4 linked regions of the Caenorhabditis elegans genome follow. The protein of the gene in region 4 interacts with the protein of the main gene of each other region in a biochemical or structural test. Each region holds a gene or a part of one and is shown on either strand. Other genes may lie near its edges.

Evidence for each region.
Region 1: of the proteins of kgb-1 (region 4) and glh-1, one has a biochemical effect on the other in vitro, tested with the Caenorhabditis elegans proteins (one study listed by BioGRID).
Region 2: of the proteins of kgb-1 (region 4) and vhp-1, one has a biochemical effect on the other in vitro, tested with the Caenorhabditis elegans proteins (one study listed by BioGRID).
Region 3: of the proteins of kgb-1 (region 4) and jun-1, one has a biochemical effect on the other in vitro, tested with the Caenorhabditis elegans proteins (one study listed by BioGRID).

What each region holds. Positions count from the first base shown.
Region 1 is NC_003279.8:6,852,696-6,858,066, reverse strand, and holds glh-1 (ATP-dependent RNA helicase glh-1), read right to left. Parts: upstream 3,590-5,371; 5' UTR 3,256-3,589; coding exon 3,216-3,255; intron 3,159-3,215; coding exon 2,724-3,158; intron 2,681-2,723; coding exon 2,606-2,680; intron 2,558-2,605; coding exon 1,307-2,557; intron 1,259-1,306; coding exon 1,155-1,258; intron 1,109-1,154; coding exon 927-1,108; intron 879-926; coding exon 674-878; 3' UTR 531-673; downstream 1-530. Other genes in the region: sacy-1 (RNA helicase), read right to left, coding at 4,003-4,122, 4,170-4,366, 4,411-4,658, 4,721-4,839, 4,969-5,142, 5,191-5,263, 5,309-5,371. UniProt on the Caenorhabditis elegans protein: Probable ATP-binding RNA helicase. May act redundantly with the P-granule component glh-4 to regulate the formation of the granular structure of P-granules in embryos. Plays a role in positively regulating the localization of pgl-1 to P-granules.
Region 2 is NC_003280.10:5,321,578-5,326,280, reverse strand, and holds the start of vhp-1 (protein-tyrosine-phosphatase), read right to left. Parts: upstream 3,006-4,703; coding exon 2,997-3,005; intron 1-2,996. UniProt on the Caenorhabditis elegans protein: Acts preferentially on the c-Jun N-terminal kinase (JNK) and p38 MAPKs. Plays an important role in the heavy metal stress response and in axon regeneration by negatively regulating the kgb-1 (JNK-like) and the pmk-1 (p38-type) MAPK signaling pathways.
Region 3 is NC_003280.10:9,111,386-9,116,196, reverse strand, and holds the start of jun-1 (Transcription factor jun-1), read right to left. Parts: upstream 3,041-4,811; 5' UTR 2,907-3,040; coding exon 2,795-2,906; intron 1-2,794. UniProt on the Caenorhabditis elegans protein: Transcription factor that recognizes and binds to the AP-1 non-canonical enhancer heptamer motif 5'-TTAGTCA-3'. Required for ovulation. Controls plc-1 expression in the spermatheca to regulate spermathecal valve dilation.
Region 4 is NC_003282.8:405,121-411,591, reverse strand, and holds kgb-1 (GLH-binding kinase 1), read left to right. Parts: upstream 1-1,558; 5' UTR 1,559-1,635; intron 1,636-1,719; exon of another isoform or gene 1,720-1,830; intron 1,831-2,695; 5' UTR 2,696-2,705; coding exon 2,706-2,771; intron 2,772-2,814; coding exon 2,815-2,906; intron 2,907-3,556; coding exon 3,557-3,686; intron 3,687-3,729; coding exon 3,730-3,845; intron 3,846-4,553; coding exon 4,554-4,638; intron 4,639-4,687; coding exon 4,688-4,859; intron 4,860-5,028; coding exon 5,029-5,289; intron 5,290-5,335; coding exon 5,336-5,442; intron 5,443-5,500; coding exon 5,501-5,644; 3' UTR 5,645-5,971; downstream 5,972-6,471. UniProt on the Caenorhabditis elegans protein: Mitogen-activated protein kinase which is an essential component of the JNK pathway composed of mlk-1, mek-1 and kgb-1.

The sequences.
Region 1 (5,371 bases), on a different chromosome or scaffold from region 4:
CGCAAAAAATTGTATGTTACAGTACCCCTCTCGCAGTGGGACCCCACCACGTGCTACTGAGAATACACCTTACTACAGTATTACTAAAAATATATTTGAAGAAATTGATAGACAAGCACACAGGAAATGCCACAGCGAAACAGAAACTAAGCATCATCTCTTCCTCTTTTCCCTAATACTCTTCTTCTCAAACTCTATTTCCTGATTGTGATCACTGAGCAAACCGTAAATGGAATGGCAAAGCCAACAGAAAAAATACGGGAGCAAAAAAGCAGGTGAGAGGAAAGCGAAAAAACGAATGTAAATCGACCGGAAATGAGCGAGTGAGAGAAGAGCAAAAAAGAAAATAAATAAAGAATTGAGCCTAAAGTTTCTGTATGCGGAAAAATGCTCGCCGCGGAGAATCGGAAAACAAATTATTGAAGTTGATTAGCTGAGAGAGCAATGTGATATGAGATCATATTGCCTAGTTTGCTTGTTAAAATTCTTTTCATTTAATATGCAACTAATAGTTGAAGTCGTGAACAGCATGATATTGAACAGAGTTTATGCGGCGAGGACTATAACGACAACCAACACCAACAAATACAATTAAAAATCAACAAGGGCAGGATAAAATATGGGGGAACTGACAGCATTAATAAATGCGAAACACTATCAATTGGTCGGTTTTCTACCAGCCTTCTTCATCTTGAGGGACTTGAGTTGGTACACTGGACCCAAATCCACTAGCTCCGTAATTGCCTCCAGCAGCACCTTGCATCCAGTCTGGAACAATCTGTTGTGCGTCGGCGAGAACACCAACAAGTTCGGACAGAAGACTGCAATCCTCCGAGATGAAGCTTGTAGCTCTTCCAGAGTTTCCAACTCTTCCAGTTCTGAAAACAATGCTTGCATTATTGAAACATTAATAAAATATAACTGACCTTCCGATACGATGGATATAGTCATCAATGTTGTCTGGCATGTCATAGTTGATGACATGATCCACTCCTTTGATATCAAGTCCACGTTCAGCGACCGCAGTAGCAATAAGAACAGGTTTCGATCCATTTCGGAATTGTCTCAAAGCTTCTGAACGCTCTCTCTGCTCACGGGCACCATGGATCTGTACATTTTGAATTAAAAAGCGGTCAAAAATGAAATATACCAACCGTGATAGCTGGAACTTGAGCCGATGACAAAATTGAAGCCAGTGTATCAGCCATTGCTCTTTGAGAAACGAAGACCATGGTTTTCTTTGTGTAAACTTCGGCACCTGAAATATTGAAATTTATTTCATCAAATAAGAAAACGAAAAACTCACTTTTCTCGGTCGTGTAACTGTCGATATCGATTCCCAGAAGCTCTAGAAGTTTGTCCTTCTTCTCGCTTCTTTCGCATCTCTCGAATTCCTGTAGGACGCACTTGTTTGCAGCTCCAATCTTGTCGATTGCAATCATCACGTAGTTTTCTCTGAGAAAAGCGCGAGCTGCTTCCTGTACAGAATCGGGGAAAGTGGCACTGAACATGAGTGTCTGGCGATTTTCTTTCCTCGGCATACTGTCATAATTGACAATAGTTTCGATGTCAGTTCCGAATCCCATAGCATCGATCATACGATCAGCCTCGTCAAGAACAAAGAAGCGGCATTTGTCAAGCTTGATGGTACCCTCTTCACAGAAGTGCTTGATTCTTCCGACAGTTCCGACAATGATCGTGGCTCCCTTTTCGATCTGACCCTTATTATAACCGACAGCCAATCCTCCGTAAACTGGTTTGATCTCCATCATTGTTTGATAAGCAAACTTTCTTCCCTCGTTGTAAATTTGATCAGCGAGTTCGCGAGTTGGAGTCAAGATGATGCAACGGGGATAGCAACCGCCTTCTCCGGCAGTGTTCAGATTATTATCGTCAATGAGACGAGTCATGATAGGCAGAAGGAATGCAGCGGTTTTTCCTGATCCAGTTTGAGCACAAGCCATGATATCATATCCCTGATGAACAAGTGGAAGAGCATATTGCTGAATTGGAGTGGTCTTGGAGTATCCAGCATGAGCAACGTTTTTCTGCATGGTCTCCGTGAGATTAGCTTCCGCGAATGTCTTGCAAGGTTTGATACCGACAGTCTTCTCGGATGAAGTCAGTTTAACTTCGGCATCGAAAAACTTGTTGAACATAAGGCCTTCCGAAATTTTCTGCATGTTGAAAACGTCCTCCATGTTGTCTTCGACTGGCACGTATGTCGCCTTAGGTCCTTCTCCTTCAACACCTTCCCTTGGCTTGGCTGGATTGGGGCACTCATTCGAGCGATGACCTTGCTCGCCACAATTGAAACATCCACGGGGTGGCTCCGGACATTCAGCAGAGCGATGTCCCTCGCCTTTACAGTTGAAACATTTCATTGGACCACGTTCTTCGCCTCCACCAAAACCACCGTCCCCACCGAAACCGTCATTTCCTCCATTGTTTCCAAATCCAGCTCCGCCCCCGAATCCACCAGTGCGACCCTCACGCGGCTTGCGTTCTTCTGTACATTCACGAGAGGTGTGCCCGGGTTGCTGGCAATTGTAGCACACTGAAAATAAAACAAATTACTGCCAATAAAGTTATATCAAAATAAAACCTCTCGGCTCTCTTTCCTTTCTCGGCTCTGGACAGTCACTCGATCGATGTCCTGGCTGTTGGCAATTGAAACAATCTGAAACAAACGTAATTATATAAAGTCAATTTAAAAAACGAACTATTGTTTCTCTCTCCGCCGCCATGTCCTCCTTCCCCAAAACCAGAGTTGCCACCTCCAAAGGATCCTCCTCCACTTCCGAATCCAGTTGCACTACCTCCAAAGCCACCTGATCCTCCAAATGCACTTGATTTTTCACCGCTTCCAAATCCAGATGTGGCAGTACTACCACCGAATCCAGAACTGGCTCCTCCATACGGCGATCCTCCTGTACTGCCTCCACCGAAGCCGGATCCACAAGTATTTCCACCTCCAAATCCAGAACCGCCAGTCTTTCCTCCACCGAATCCAGATCCGCCAGTGTTTCCTCCACCGAATCCAGATCCGCCAGTGTTTCCTCCACCGAATCCAGTACCTCCATTTTTACCACCACCAAACCCAGATCCTCCATTGTTACCACCACCGAAACCGCCTCCACTACCGAATCCAGTTTTGGCTGAAATAAAGTTTTTAATCAAAATAAAACCGGTGGAAAGTTCAAAATAAAACTCACCCTTAGCAGCACTTTCGCTATCACTCCAACCATCAGACATTTTCGCAGAAAATTAAGATTTTTCCAGAAAATTGAGTTGAAAACAGCAAAAAGAATTAGGAACTGTCCCAAAATTTAGTAGATGAGTGTGTCGAGGTTACTGTAGTTGGGGCGCGTGGCGAAACCTAAACGGTGTGAAAGTCTGTGTTCCTTTAAAGAATCGACTCTTTAAGAGGCACCACGGTTTCAAGATCTGATGGGATTCCGGATCTACGTTTTCCGGATCTACCATTTCCGGATCTACGTTTTCCGGATCTACGTTTTCCGGATCTACGTTTTCCGGATCTGGCACCGTGCCAACGCACAAAACGCTTTTCAACGCACGACTTTTTTCGAAATTTTCTTCTAGAAGAAACGCTTAACAACACGCGACGCGTAACATCGGAGCGTCGTTGTCACTTTTTTCTTCGAAAAAATAGCGTTTTAAGAGTTTGCACGGTGCCAGATCCGGAAAACGTAGATCCGGAAAACGTAGATCCGGAAATGGTAGATCCGGAAAACGTAGATCCGGACTCCCATCAGATCTTGAAACCGTGGTGTCTCCTTTAAAAAAAAGAATTTTGAGAATGCATTTAATTCATTTTTCTTTTTCAATGAACTCGATCAATTAATTATTTTCATGTTTTCTCGGAAATCCAGACTTTTTTTAAACATGAAATAAATAGTACAATTCTGACAAATATTTTTATAAATGTAAACAAGAAAACAGTAAATAAATAGATTGAGATACAATGTATGAATAAAATAATCAGAAACCACCATCGTCGCCTCCACCTCTTGCCAATGCTTGCGTCGTTTTGTTTCCGATTCCAGCGAGTTTTGGACAATCTGTGATGCGATGACCCAGACCGGAGCAGTATGCGCATCCCTGAAAACATGTTGAACTTCCCGATTTTCTAAATGTTTTCTAACTACCTTTTCCGCATTTGTGCCAGCTGGAGCAGTTCCCTCCTCGTCACCAGCCAACATTTTGAGAAATTCTGGAAGTTCCTGCCCTGCTTCTGCGAGTAATTGTTTCAAGTCGGAAAGCACTGACATCTCCGATTTTTTGTTGATAAATGTCGTTGCGAGACCTTTCCGTCCGGAACGTCCGGTACGACCAATTCGATGAACTGAAAATAAAAATTCAATTATGAAAAATAAATAAGAAATTCACCATAGTTCTCAATATCTTCAGGCATGTCAAAATTGATAACATGTTCAATTCCTTGGAAATCGAGTCCTTTTGATGCAACATCTGTTGCCACAAGTACATCTTTCTCATTTTTTCGGAATGCCTCAATTCCAGCATGACGGTCACTTTGATCTTTTCCTCCGTGAATTGAAGCAACTTCAACTCCTTTTACAAGCAAGTACTCGTAGATATTGTCAACGTCAACTTTCTTTTCGGCAAAAATCAAAACTCTGAAATATAAAACCGTTGCCATATTTCTAAATTAATTATTTTCTGATAAATAAAATCTTACTTGGGAGAAGTCTTTTGAAGGCATTCAAGTACACGAACCAATTTGTTTTCTGATCGAACAAACTCAAGCTCCTGGAGTACGTTCAATGAAGCAGCACCCGCACGTCCAACATTTACGACCTAAAATATTTATAATTTACAGACAAACTCCTGAAAAATTATTCTTTAAGAATTGAAGAATGACAACTTTTGGGAGTAGGTTAAAAAATTATATTTTTGAAACTTCTCGATTGCATAAATAAAACTTACAATAGGTTTGACCAGTGCTGATTTTGCGAAAAATTGAATCTTTCGTGGCATCGTAGCCGAGAAAAGGAGAGTTTGCCGTTGAGCTTTGAAGAAATAGAAAATTGATTTAATTTCATCTTCAAATCCCATATCAAGCATTCGATCAGCTTCATCTAGAACTAAGTAACGGCAAACCTGTAATAAATTGAAGCAATTTTTGAAATCTTTGAAGTTATGTCTTACTTCTAAATTTATAATTTTCTTGGTAAGCATATCAGATAGTCGTCCTGGTGTCGCAACAACAATATGAATACCACTGAAAATAATGAAAATCATAAAATTCGAAATTCTAATCACTCACTCTCTAACGTCTTTAGCTTGTTCGCCAATTGGGACTCCTCCAATACATAATCCAGCTCTCATT
Region 2 (4,703 bases), on a different chromosome or scaffold from region 4:
ACACTAATCCATTCCTTGAATCTTTTTTCTCCTTCTGAAGACCTCGGCCATCTGTATTGAAATTGGACCCTCCAGCTGTCAGTGCCCTTTTATTGCGAAATTTTCGAAACATTCGGCGAATTGGATATTTCGAAAATTCTAAACAGTTTTAGACCACACATGTATAATGAAATAGCTCTAGAGAATTAAGAATTTTCTACAAAATTAGTCGAAAAAAACCTAGTGAATGAGAGAAAATACGGCAATTTTTTTGATTCTTGAATTTACAATTTGACAATTGTCAAGCATCTCTTAATTTTTCTCAATTTTTTAAAAATTAAGAAGCCATCAAAACATCATAATACATAACATTTCCAAAACCAAAAACTCAAGCGCTAAAATAGTATACGTATGAATTGGAAACTAATTTCTACTGCCTTAACAAAAGTTTGACACACCGAAATATTGCAGGTAGGCTATTCGGAACAAAAAATTAGAATGGAGAAGGTTTTTAACTGAGAATTTTGAAACATTCATATTCAAACAATTTAAATTTAAACAGCGTTTGAATTTTAATAAACATTTCAAGCTTCCATGAAGGCAGAAAAAGCTTACCTGCTTTTGGCAGCAGATAGTCATGGCAAAGTAGATCTGAAAAATTCTCAGACCACTGTTTCAGCTAAATAAAATATTTAAAAATTTACTTAAATTTTTTAAACGGAAAATTATTTGATCGAGCTGGGTAAAAAAGTTTTTACAACAAAAAACCTAAAAAACCTTCAGAATGTTTTTACACCCCTAGATAACCTTAAATTAATTAAAGTCAACAATTTTTGGCCAGGAAAAGAGTTGCTTTGTTCTAAAATAAAAACCACCGACAAGGAAAAATGGCAAAAATGAGAACGCATGGATCGACAACAGAGAGCATCGACTGATTGTATATATTTGCTCGATTCCACTCTAAAATCAACAATTTTTTTCATCTCTCTCACACAAAAATTCCATTCGTATTCACTATTTATAACTTTCCACATTCATAAACATTCACATTTCACCCTTTTTGATCTACAGTTTTTTACTCGTAAAAACATTGGACAAAAAAAGAGAAAAACAAGTTAAAAAGTCGACAGATGGATCTCTGTTGGGGAGTGAATTGAAAAGTTCGTTCGAATTATAAATGGAACAAATTTGAAAAAATAATTTCTGAAAAACAATTTGAAAATAATATTTAAAATTTAAAAAAATCCGATAATATTATGATTTCATATTTCCCATATTTATATTTTTGAAAACAGTTTTTCAAAATAAAAAACCCACTTTTAAAATTCAGATTACACTTTTGCAAGACTTTCAATCACGTCATTGTTTCTTTCGAAAAAATAGTTTCCTTTCTATTTAGCAAGAGAACTAAAAACCTGTTTTCTACAAAAAAGGGGTAATGAATGATGTGTGTAACGTCACTTTTGTTGTAGAAAAACACAATATTTAGGAAAAATTGCAAATTCCCGATGTTTACAGAACCTTTGAACTTTGAAATAGGTCATAAACAAATGAAGATAAGGAAAGAACAAATTGTTTCATAAATATTTTGGGGAAAAGGGTACAGAATGGAAAGCAAAGATTCAAAATGGGAACAAATTAAATTAATTGATTTAAAGGTACATCGGCAGTGAAAAAATATATGTGAATACTCAAATAATAGTCCAACATTATCAAATATCATATTAAATTAAAAACTCCAATAGTTTTTAAACTTTAAAAAATTTTCAGTTGGTAGATGGCCAAATTAACAGCAAAAAAAACGTTTCCAGAGCTATAGAGCAATTTTACAGGTTCCAGCTTCTAGAATGTTCAGATATCAGTTTTTAGAACTCAATTAAAACATGAAACTCGAGAACAATTTTTTGTTTGATTTTCAAAATTATGATACAAAAATTTTCTGAAAGTTTTACCAATTCGCAATTTTTCGGAAATTTTAGGAAATTGGGTGTAAAATGTACAAAACGGCTATTATTGAATTTCTGAAAGATAATTGGTGTTGTTTTTCTAGCTTATTATTTTTTAAAAATTATCATACTAATGTTTTTGGTAGTAATGAAGCTTTCATAATCTCGAACCTCTTTCTAACTTCTGAGTCATTTTCATTTTTCACACTTTTCCTTATAATAATTAGATTCCTTAAATGACATCAAAATATGATTTTGAAGTTCATGTGTTTGCACCGGTCAGCGACTCATACCTTTCTCCCTTATCACTGACATTTTCCAGAGCTCGGCAGAAAACACGCAGCTGATAAGAGACACTATGGAATTGATCATCTGTTCTCTGATATTATAACTTATAGAATACACTTAAAAAGTCTTAATCAATTGAAAAATCATGTTTACATTTGGGGTTATTCATCAAGTACCTACTGGGTACAATGTGCAAAGTTGCAAAAATCATTTAAACAGTGAATCAGAGGAGTGCAGTGTTTTTTGGAGCACTGACTTTTATAGAGTCTTCAAGAAAAACGTCATTATTTGTTTTTATGAGGTGTTCCGTTATCATTTCGCTTGACGACATTTGAATAAGAGCAAAAACTGGTCATAACCTTATACAGTAACCTTTACGGAATTTAAAACTAAATTGTAGTTACAAGGAAAAATTCATTGATACGAAAACAAAATATAGTTTACTAGTTAGATTAAATAAATACAGTTCGGAAAATGAAGAAAATAGATTGAAAATATGAAGATTAATGACATTTACAGTTATACATTTTTCCTAGTTGTGGAGCCTCATCGCCAAAAAACTACACATTTTTACCCATTTTGAAGATCCAATGTAAGTTTCTTGCTGATTGATCCCAAAAAGAGTGCAATCGGTGAAATTAAAAAATAGTGGCTAGATTAAAAATTAAAATCAATTAAAAAAATAACTTCATCACAATAGCTGTTAAAATATCTTTAAGAACACTTTGTAAATTCCTAATTTATAAATTTACCGTTTCAAAATAATAAAATAATAAAGCTCACCTTGAGCATTTTTTCAGTTTTGCTCAACTGATCGGCCGTGAGCTTTGACGACTCCAGCTTGAACTTTTGTTGTTTTAATTTTCAGAAAAAAAGTATTTTCGGACGTTAATCCAACTTGTCACAGGTTGCAATTGATTCCAAGTGTTGAGGATCGTTTGGGGCGCTTTTTTTTTGTCAATAACTGTATTTCAATTACAGAACCAAAAAGGAGATACTAATCTCCTTCTTTAGAGCAAAGACCCAGACGGTACGTCCATTCTGAATTAGGGGGAGGTAACCTGTAAGAATATAACGATGGGAAAGTGAAACGACACAAAAAAGTAGGAGAGAAAATTGAAAAAAAGATAGAAGAGGGGGCAATGACGTGCACTTGTCAACAGAAAAGACGTTGTTGGTTTTTGTATGTACAATAGGACATTAGAAGAAGAAATATTGAAAAACAGGTCGAAAAGAAAACAGATTGATCCAGAGAGTTTTGGGATTGGACATCTATAGAACAAGATAAGTAGATTACAAGGAAAGAAGATGGTTCAAAAATTAAATCCAGACATTTTTGGAAAGTACTGTATTCTCCCTATTAGTCGTGCACCTTCGTGCTCCTCTGACAACTTAGATCTAAGCTCTTGGAGCAATACCAAAAAATAGGCTTGCGATAGTTGAATAGCTAGGGTTTTTAAGATTAAGATTCCTTGCTTTTCGCGATTGCAATGTTCTTATGCAGTTTTTATAAGCTAGTTTTCATACAATTCATGATTGGTGACTTTAACAAAACCGAACTTGCCTGAATGCAAAATTGTAATTATAAATTTTAAGTTAATTCCCTGGTAGAACTGGTTTACAAGATCCTTGTTACTGTTCAGATCCCAACAAGGAAAATTTCTAAAATTTTGCCAAAAAAAGCCTATAGGTCTAATAAATCTAGAGATCACAATAATTAATGTGTATTAAAAATGAAGGGTATGTTATTTTGAAAGTCGTTGTTCATCTCACTTCTTCACAATTGCCTGCGTCATAGGGACACCAGAGAGGAGAGGCGCAGAGTTGTAGAGATACAAATATAGTATTGACCAATAAGAGGTGTAGACAAATCGACCTCAAAACAGTACCCAAAACAGTGGAGAGCGCCAGGAGAGATTGCTGCTGCTGGTGTGGAGAACCGGCCGCGCCGTTACGGTCTCTTTTGTCTCCCTTTCTCTGTACCCCCCCCCCCCCCTCTCTCTCTCTCTCTCTCTCTCTCTCTCTCTCTCTCTCTCTCTCTCTCTTTCATAGTTCTCTTTATAATTCATAGGTACCCTCTTACGAGTGCGCGTCGAACCGGCTGATCACTCACTATTTTTGTGTATAGTTTGTTGTATGACCGTCTCTTACTCTTTCTCTCTCTGTTCACAAATTTCTGTGCCTGTTTGCATCCAGGATCTTTTCACCACCACCACCGTCGTAAAAAATCAGCCCAAAAGCACTGTGGATTTCGCAATGCATGTGGTCAAACAGACAATCTCTTATCATATGCCATCAAAAATCAACGAAACCACAAGCAAAAAGTGACGATTGGAGGAAAATGGAATGATCCCCCCACTATCAGACAATCACTATTACAATTTGAATGAATTTGAAATGGTGTAGAAAACACGAAGATTTGAAAGAGAAGTTTGAACAGAAATAGATTTATATTAAAACTAAAAGTTTCGAAAACATTGGAATTCTAGA
Region 3 (4,811 bases), on a different chromosome or scaffold from region 4:
GAAACAACTGATTGATTATTTTCTGATCAATTCCATATTAAAATACGGTTATGTTCTTTAGGTATATTTACAAAAACTATGATTTCTTTGATAATTATTTAAAATTCAGCCACTGCAAAATCATAGATCAAATCAAAAGACCCGGAAAATAATTGTTTTCCAAAATATCAGCACATTTAGGAAGTACAATTCCAACAAGAATATATCCTAAATTGGCGGGAATCGAGAAAAGCATAACAAAAAAATAGATTCAATATATATGAAGAAAAATGTTTCAGATAACTTCATAACACAAACATCAATTGATCATGAAACGCGTGTTAGATTTGATTAACAAAACATGTTAACGATGTTCTTGGAACTACGCTGATTAGCAGAAAAAGTTGGTGGGAAATGTTGTTTAAAGTTTTTGAATACGCGACACGAAAAAGGAAAGTGAAAAACTTTCATAATGCTCCATCCAAGCACGTTCTTTAATTTGTGTTTATGATGGTGGGAAAATAGAAAAAGTGAAAAAAAGAGAAGAAGAAAAAGATTCTCAGATGTTCTCTAACAGAAAATGTAGATGAAACTAGAGAACCAGAAAAGCTCAGAGATAAACATCAAAAAGAAAATATTAGAGCAGATCAGTCTTCCACGAGCAGAACGTCATGAATATGTTCTTTAAAGATTAGTGTCAGGTTTGATGGGAATTGGCTGAAACTAGGGCTTCATGCGCCTCATCGGAACTTGGCTTGCCTTCACGGCAACCCTTGCCTGCCTTGTGCCTAGAAATATTAATAACTCATGAGTTAACACAATTCGAGCGCCAAACATCGTTGAATCAAAAATATGAAGCCAGGAGGGGCGGGTAGGTTTGAGGCAGGCAGTGGATCCTGAGGATGCACCTCTCTAGATAGATCTACTATGGGTAACCTAGCTAAAACTGAGTTCAAAATGACTAACTACCTACAGGTTCCATTCTAAAATTGAAACAACTTCTGCAGAAAATGAGAACAAATACTAACAGAGATTCGCCTGAATATTTCATCAAACATATGACTGTTTCGCAAGAGTTGCCATAGCCTCTTTCATCTCATTACCCATGCATGTTATGGAACAGAAATCAGAGCCTAAAAACTGAAAGATGGGAAGGAAAAAAGGGGCAAAGTGTGTGTCAAAACATTTACGAAAGCCCGATGACTCATTCCAAGAAATGAATGGGAACGGATAGAACGAATGAACAAAATATGTCTGGATAAAATGGAAATTAAGAAACCAAAGTTCGAGAATAAACGCATCGAAAATTAGTTCAGCTCACGTAGCTAAAAAAAATTTCAAGACAAACTTTTAAACATCTTCTTTGCAAAAATCTTGATAACGAGAAATTCGACGTAAAATAGAGAAGCGAAGGGCCGGGATAAGCCATTTGTAAGATCATTTTAGATTTTTTATAGCATTCGATCGTTCAAAATCAATTTTAAAATAGCATTGTTTGAACTTTTGCTTGAATTTTCTGTACTTATAGTGTGTTTTGTATTTTCGTATTGTACTTTTGTCAATATGACTTCGAAGAACGTTTTCAAAATACCTAACTATAAATTTCGACAAAACCTTAAAAAACCCAAATAGTGTACTAAAATGATCTGATGAGCTAATAATGAAACTTCCGAAAGGAACAGCTGTTAGTCTTATCATTTGGCACAATCAGGTCGAACCAATGAAATATTGCTCTCAAACCAAGAGAGGGCGGAGAGACATATTGTGGTGATTTATTAGGTAGTTCTTGTGAAAAAATGTCGGGTTTGAAATATGTTAAATTTCTAGATGAAGGTTTTAGAGAAATGAGGTTTGTCGGATTTGTATACCATAATATATTTAAGCTTTTTTTGAAGGATTTGAATAATACAAATCTTCAAAGTAAAGCTAGGGGACAAGCTAGAGTAGGAGGTAGAGATTTTCCAAAAAAACATAGTTTTACCGTTAATTGCAATTTTAAATATTAATCAAGAATTTAGGTTTAATGAAAGTTCAAAAAATTTACCAAGTTTACAGAATATGGTCTAGGAATATATATATATATATAGTTTCAAGTTCCTAGATCCTAACCCTAATGCCTCTACACTTCCGCTAAACTAGGCATATGCGTTTATCAACAAAAAACAGTTCGAAGAAAAGAGACCATATAAGACGAAGAGACGCAGACAGTTGCCAGATGGAACGGGCGGGAAAAGCTGTGCGCCGCTTCGATCACTACAGTAGCTGCGTCGTTGGAATCGAAAATCACGTGTCAACTCGATTTTTTTTTCTCGATCACTGCGTCTCTCTCCGAATTAGAGTCTCGCTCGTAGTTTTTGTGATGATTAAAATGTAATGATGAACATTCATAAAAGTGGGCGGAGCCAGGATTATACCGTTTACTCTATTTTTAAGTGTTTTATGTCCAGTTGAAAGGAAATTGTTGCATAGAAAAACTTTCAATTTGGTAAGAAACAATATGATTTAATTTTACAAATCATTTAAGAAAAATACAAAACAATTTTAACAACCACCTGTTTTTTTTGGCACGCGTCATAAACTTTTTATGGGTTCAAAGAATTCATATTAAACATAGATCTACAAATTGATATAATGTTTTGACAAACAACTTCATCAATTAACGATAAAATCACGAGATCACAAATGTTTGGTAGTTGTAATTTGGCATTTTGATAGTAGTGAAACTATAGTTTTGTAACCATGATTGTCCATTTCCTATTGTGACAGGTTTATCATCAAGTATTCCAAAACTTTTGAACTAGACAAACAAACTAACCCTTTTTGGAATTTTTCCTTCTTCGAGTTGGAGCTTTTGGAGCTTTTAGAACAACTTCTGGAGATTCTGATGATGTTGATGAGGATGGTGGTTCCTCTTGATCCTCTTCCATTTTTGTTTTATTTTGATTTCAAAACCTTTTGACAAATAAGAATTGAATAGAGAGGAAGAGAAGTTGATGACGAATCGGTTGACGACGATGGCGATGGGGGTTAGTCGGCGGGGGCCCCGAGAATGAGTCACACGCACACTCACTCTTGTCTCTTTTCCTCTGCTGACTCGTTCTTTTCCTTTTTCTCTCTTTTTCTATCTCTATCTCTTTCTCTCTATTTTCCAGATCCATGACATCCATAGACGCAGATAGACAAACGAACATTGAAAGAAAACATTGAAAATTGAGAGAATCCAGAAGTTTCTCATTCTCTCTATTTTTCATTCTCTCTTTCCACCACCCAATTGACATTTAGAAAGGTAAATGGAGAGAGAAAGAGAGGAAATGGATAAAGTTCGCAGAAAAATGTTACCGTAAATAATGTGTCAGTGTGCTTGCTTCACGTTCTCCGTCTCTTTTCCCTCATTTCTCTCCGCTCCTTTGACTTCTGTATTTGCCTTTCCATCAGCCACTTATCTTTTTGGAAGTTCATTGGCTTTTTCAGAGCTCATCTTGTTTTTCATTCTTTTTAGGCCTGACCTCATTAGTCTTTTACCCATAGATCTTGTTTATGCACCCAATAATAACTAAAATATAATACGTTTTTTGCAGGGGTTTGAAGCTTTCTGATCCGGTTTTTCAAATTAATAAAAACCGAGAGTAATAAAAACTCATGTTTCAGTAAATCCAATTTTGGAAGTCGACCAGAAAACATTTTTTGGAAAATTTGGCAATTTACTAAAACTGTTAATGAACATTTTACTCTGGAGTGTTCGATTATGACATTCGAGAATTTTGTCTGCACATACTTCAACTAGACCAGAAATACTCTAGATCATTTTTACAAAATCTAAACATATTTTGATTTTCTTTTTGAAATTGTTTGAGGTTTTGTTTTTGGCACAATGCAAAAAAAAGGTTTTTTTTCAAAGTAATTTATACTATTTTTGCATGTTCGGTCCTAGATCTTTCATATTTGTAATACGTGATAACATATTATTAGTAATAGCCAGATTTTGACTACAGTTACAAACATTTTTTAATTTTTTGAACTGTTTTACCATGTTATTCAGCATACCAAACAACTCGTCTAGATATCAAAACAAGTTTTATTCAAGGTAACATACCGTGTACCATACCATTTGGAAAGTACGGTAGATATCAGTTCATTGCATTTGGGAATTTGTATCGCATTTGCAAAGTTAATTTTGATTGGTAGATTTTTTTCGGCACTTGCACTTAATTTTTTCATAGAAACACCGTAATTTGCATAAGAATAGTCATTCGGCCTAACACGATCGATGCTAATTATCTTTTATTATTACTAACTTCATGTTTTATTTGGCTTATTTGTGCTGATATCTAGAGGCTTTTGAATTGTACATTCGTGAACCAGGAATTGGCCAAGTTTTGCCAATTTCGGAACCAAGTTGGGTACGAAGTTTCGAACATAAATCTGAAAGTGTTTCATTGGTCTCCAATAGTCATGATTTGTGATTCACTTTCCAATTTACAATATCAACAGTAGTATCTACTCATAATTGATAACTTCGTATTTTCTCTAATCATACTTATGTCTCTCACGATTCCATACAATTTCGCGTTCGTTATGGTTGTCTGCTCATCTTTTTGTACACGGTCATCAAAATGAAATCGGAACGAAAAAGCAGTCACAAATTCGGAAATCATTGCAAAAAAATGGTGGGAGTAAGAATTGAGAGATTAGTGGAAATGGCATCACATCAGAATCAATTTGAATTCTCTCTTTTTTTGTGTTTCCTCTGCCCACCCATTCACATTTCAGGTGATTTCGAGAACAAATTACGTCGAAAGGGAAACGCCTGGCTGAAAATAAAAAATTCAGAA
Region 4 (6,471 bases):
AAATATAACTGTTAAAAAATGTAGAAAATGTATGAAATTTTTCTAATTTTTTAATGATTTTTTTCTTAATTTTACAAAAATTTAAAAAAAAGGACTGAATTAAATTTGAACTCCCGCGCAAATGAGTGACGTCATTTTCGAAACTTTTGCGTTTTCAGCCTATATTAATAGGTTTTTCTTCATTTTTCCTTTGTTTTATAATTTGAAATACAGTCTGTCAATTTTTCAGACTAAAAGAAAATGTATGATTAATTTTGAATAATTAAGCCAATTTCAGAGTTTCGGTAAGTTTCTTCGCAATTATCAAGTTTGAAAAATGTTTGAAAAATTGAAAAATTATGTTTCAAATTATAAAACTAATTGTAAGAATAAAGAAAAACCAATTAGTTTGGCCGTAAAACACAAAATGTCGAGAATGACGCCATTAATTTGTGCGAGAATTCAAATTTAAATCGGCCTTTTTGAAAAAATCATAAAAAATTTATTATTATTTTTTGATTTTTTAACAGTTATATTTGGTAAATTGGGACTGTATTCTGTCATTTATGGCAAAAAAACCACTACTTCACCTTATAATTTAAAATTATCCAACTCACTATCTCTGTGTTTCATTTTAGCATCGAGTTATCACTTCCGATGACTAACAAATGGGAAATCTAAGGAATAATGCAGAGATTGAAAAGAATTAGAGAAACAAACAGACAAAATCAAGTATTATTTAACAATTGTAAAGAACAACCAAAAAACCCCACAGGAAAGACCACACAGAATGTGGACCCACGACTTTGGGAGATTAGGCACCTACGAGATTTCATGGCCCAAGTTAATTGGGTAGCGCTTTGAGTTGTCATAAATGTTAATAATTGAGAAAAAGATATTTAAAACTTAAAACGTACATATTAAACTTATTTCTTATAGAATTTACTTTCAAAGCTTTTATTATAGGCGGTCGATTTGTTCTACGGCAACTCTATTCTCCAAAACAGAGTGGTGTCTCTTTTCTGTCTGATTCTCTACTTCTCTACACATTTTCAATCCTAGGTGTGTCTCTCTCTGAAGGATGAAATCTCTATTTCTCTGCATCTCCTATTTGGCTTCAGCCTATCGCTTCTCTTCCGCACACAAACATTCACTCAGTGACGTAACTTTTAATACCTACACTATTTCTCTCTTTCGCATTGTCAACTTATATATATATATATGTATATAGATCATTCCTGTACTATTTAATTTTTAATTATAACTTTTTAAAAAGGTTATTTATGATTTAAAAAAAACAAAATCTAAAGTGTCTTTAAAGTGTAAAAGTAAAAATTGGCAGGCTGGGTATACTGCCTTTTTTCTTCAAGTTTTCGAATCTAAGTAAAAATAAAAAATTTCCCCTGCTTTTTTAATACAATTTTAGTTTGAATTTTACTTGTTGAGAATAATAGACTTCAATTATCTCGATGCAGTATTATGTATTTCACTAATAATTAACAGCAAATACCTCAAAATTACCCCGAACTCGAACTATTGCTAGAATAAACCATTCGAGTAACCCGTGTATTTATTGTAGAGTTCGTGAGAAAAGGATTAAAGGATTAAAGGACGATCCGTTCTTCAAGCGCTATGCACTGCGGATCTGGGAGTCAGGTACACTGCCTGGTGGTGATCCCACTAAAAAAGTAATTAGAGTATTATAGAAAAAATACGATCGCCCAAAAATAAACAACGGCGCAACGACACTCCGCTGTTTCTGAGACCCGCCCACGATTTCATTTGCACTGCGGCCGACACATTTCAGTGCAAATGAAATCTTGGGCGGGGTTTAGAAACGGTGGAGTGTCATTGCGTCGTTGTTTATTTTTGTACGATCGTATTTTTTCTATAATAAAGGTTTAAAAAAAAGAAACACACTATTGGATGTTACATTCCAGTCAACTTGATACCTAAAATATTTAAATTTTCCATTGAAATTAGTGTTGACTTTTGTTTCCTAAATACGAACATCCTTTCAAAACCAAGCGCAAAAAGTGTAAGATCATTCACAACTGAAGTCAAATTTTTGAAGTGTGAACATTTTTTGCGTCATGCAAATATGAAATATGAGTTTATGAGTCGATTAAAAAACATAAAAACCCAAACAAAAACGCTGAAATTTCATTAAATGTTAAAAAATGACTTCTTTATTACAAATCCAAAGTTATGATTAAACATTTAAAGATTAGCTGCAAAGATTATTTATTAAACTACATATCTTTCTATTTTTAGTCTATTTTTTAAACATTGTCAGGTTTAGTTTGCACTTCAAAAAATGAAAACTGTATTTCACTAACAATATGTACATATATCCCCTCCCTCATTTTTTTTCACTCCAGAAATGGAAAGTCAATATTTGGAAAGAAAATAATTTTCCAAACTGTTAGAATCTCCGTTTTTAAGATTTATTGATTTCTACGTGGGTTGAAATGACTCAGTTTTGATGAAACTCAACAATTTTAAGGCATTTTTATCAGTTCCGGTTGGAAAGGAAAATCAGAAACATTTTTGCAAGTGATAAGAATTATGAAATTTTTATAGATTTTTTCAAACGTTTATTTGGAAATTGAAATTATACTTTTAAAAATTTAAGAAAAGCTGAAATTTAATGACTAACGTTTATATTTAATTTTTGAATTTTAAGTATTTCTCCCTGAAACTAATAACTTTTTAGGCACAATAAGATGGAAGTGGATCTGCCGGTACATAACGAGTATGATGCGTCTAGATTTCATCAAGTTACAATTAGGGTTTGTTACTAGATACTTTACCTCCATTCAAATTCATTTTCAGGACCCGATAGCCGGCGCGGACAGCACTTTCACTATTCCAACTCGTTATGTAAACCTTAGTTTTCTGAATGCCGGCGCCCAAGGAACTGTCGTGTGAGTTTTTACTAATTACATTAATATTTTATTGAAGGAAAAATAATAGGGCGAATTTTTTAACGCAGTAAACAAAAAATTTCAATAGACAAACAAATATTAACACTTCAAAGATGTTAATCAAAGATTTGATAGATTGCCAAATTTTCGAATAATTTTTACTTTTTCAAACATTTCACACTTTACTGCAAATTATAGCCCCAATAATGTTCAAATACCAAAAGATAAAATAAATTTTTTGAAAGAACTATGAATTTTAGTCATTTTAGAAACATATGGCTGGTTTCAGAGAATCCTTTCTCTGGTCGTACTCCATCTTTGAATGTCTCACTGCCTTTCAATTGTATATTTTTACACTTTAACTTTTCTTCGGTTTTGCGTAATTTCAAACACTGACACAATGATGACTTCCCGAAAAAAAACGGACCGCCCTATCAAAAAACTTTTAAAACAGGTAGAGGTCTCGAGATCATTGTTATTCGTCATTGCCCGCTGCTCCACCTCTAAGATTGAAAAAGCTTGAAAAAATCAATAATCAAGAAGATCTTCTAGAAGAATGAAAGTGACTGAAATTAAATTATCGCGCAAATGACTTCAAACAGAATTTCTAAGTTAAGTGAACAGCCATAATTTTTATTGATTACATTTAGAATGGCCGATGACCTAGTAACAACGCAACGTGTGGCAATCAAGAAGATGCAACAACCATTTGTGATGACAATGAGCGCAAAGCGAGCATATCGAGAGTTTATACTGCTAACGACTATCAAACACCCAAATGTAAGATTCAGTTGGAATCTAGAAAAAATGCTCCAAATTTCAGATAATCCGTCTACTAAACGCGTTTACACCGGACACTTCACTTTCAACGTTCCGAGAAGTATATCTAGTTATGGAATTAATGACACACAATTTGCACGAGGTTATACATCGATTAAGGTAAGAGACATGGTGGCTGATTTTTATGATTTTTTTTCAGTAATACCAATTTTTATAGTAATATCTAGTATACTAGACGTAATTTAAACTGTATATGATGGACTTGTTAGAGACTAATAGACGTAAAATATTATTTTTCTGTTATTGATTTTGAGAACAAAAGAATAAAAATAAAACAATAGGAAAAGCACGATATCTTAAAGAAGGAGTGGCGGATTCATTTTTGCTCTAATAAACTCAGAACGACTCCAAAATATCAACCTTTTTTGTCTCAATTTCACGTTTAATAAACATATTCAACAATAATAATAAGTTTATTGCTGACACTTTTCAACAAAAAAAACTTTTAAAAAAAGAAAGAAACAAGGGCAAAAGCTAGACTTTCAATTTTGCCGTCTTTCGCGTTTCCCAAGGTCGGAAATACATTTTTATCCAACCTTGAGTACCCACTTGGAAATGTGCCGAAACCATCATCAAAACACGCACAGTTAGCTACCAGAACACGCGTAAAAAAATAAAAAAAATATTCCAGCGTGTTTTGAAAATTTTTGGTCAAGATTTTAGTTAACTACCAAAAATCAGAATTTTTAAAAAAGTTTAGAACACTTGCACATTTGAGCTCCTATTCATGATTGTTCAATGATTCAATGATTGAATATTGAATATAAACACATAATTAGATTCTAAAAAAATTTTCTGAATTATTAGATTGGACCATAAAACATTATCATTCTTCGTCTACCAGAGTTTGTGCGCAATCAAGCATCTTCACAATTCGGGAGTCATTCATCGTGTACGTATCTACCACTATAGACAACATTCTGAAAAATTCAAAGTTTCAGGACTTAAAACCATCGAATATTGTCGTCAACGATCGATGTGTATTAAAAGTTTTAGACTTTGGATTGGCCCGGAAGAAGAATGTGGACACATCGATGAGAATGTCAGATTATGTGGTGACAAGATACTACAGAGCCCCCGAAGTTATATTAGGTCTTCCCTATTCGGAAAAAGGTTTGTTCGAAAAAAAAAAAAATTTTTGTAATTTTGGGCTGGACTTCCATCTGCGCTCCGGTGAGCCGCCTCAAACAGCCTCACGCCGTACGTATCCGCATGTAAAGTGCGCGTAAAACCCCAAACGTGTCGGCCGCTTCCAAACAACACTCTCAATTCATAATTGCAGTAGATATTTGGTCAGTCGGATGTATATTTGCTGAAATGATCAACCATACCGTACTTTTCCCTGGAAAAGATCGAATTGATCAATGGACTAAAATTTATAGTGTTTTGGGAACACCAGATGATCATTTCATTAGTCAATTGGGTCAGTCAGCTGCTATGTATGTTCGATCGTTGCCACGTCATCAGGCACGAGCATTCAGTGAAATCGTTCCTGATACCAATTTTCTGCCGGAGACTGAAAATCCAAGGGTCCATTTGACACGTGAGTCAGGCTATACAGGATTTTGAAAAATAAATCATATTTTCAGCACACGTGGCTCGTGATCTCCTGTTCAATATGTTGAAAATCAATCCTGAAGAAAGGTATTCAGTTGAAGATGCACTGAATCATCCATATGTTAAGTTGTGGTTTAAGGTACAACAATTTTAGCACTAAACAAAAACAATCAAATCATGCATCTCAAATCTTACAGGACGATGAGGTAAACGCCCCCGCATCAGAAAATCGATACGATCAGGAAATTGATTTTGCCGATAAGACACTTATTGAATGGAAAGAGCTAATTTTCAACGAAGTGCAACGCTATCAAGCCGACCACGACATTTTCACTGGATAATAAATAATAAAAAACCTAAAATTGTTTCTTTTTCTCTCAAAAATAATTGTGTTACTTTTTTCTTCAAAAATCTATCTTTCAGTTGTGTTCTGTCACTTAGTTGGCCATATTTTCTGGTGATTCTCTGCTTATTTTCTATATTGATTATAATCACTAAATGTTAATTATTTTGGAATACAGATTTTTTGGAACTGTTTTGTTTTAAGTATAAGAAATTGAACCTTAGCTCCACAAAATTTGCATCTCATTATAAAGTAGGGATTGTTTTTCGATTGTATTGTCAGGTTTAAATTCAAAATTCTAAATCAATAAATTAATTTTTTAGGGACCAGGTCCCCTATGAGGTCGCCACAGCGGCGCCCGCGCCGGCCTCACAGCGTCAATCACAGTGCATGTATCCGAATATATAGTGCGGCAGGGAACCCGATCGTGAAGTCCGCGCCTCACTTAGCTGGGAGACCTATAGGTTTTTTTTCTTCAAAACGATGCTTTAATTTTTGTTCTCAAAAACAAAATGAAGCCAAAATGGGAATCCAGAACGACCGGACATTAAATCACACAGATGGACAATGGTGGTCTTGAATAAGTACATTTATTTCACAAAAATTGAACATTCAGTAAAAGATGAGGTTTGAAGACTGAAAAGTGGGCTGGACAACAGAAAATCGACTTTTGGGTAGTAAAAGATTTTTGATATAAAGATGGGAAATAAAGTATATGGACATTTGGACAAAAAGAGAAACAGAGACGCCTTGAAATGTTTTCAAATGATTCTTTTAGTATTCTATTCTAGAATTAAGAAAAGCGGATGGAAAATATTTTTTTGG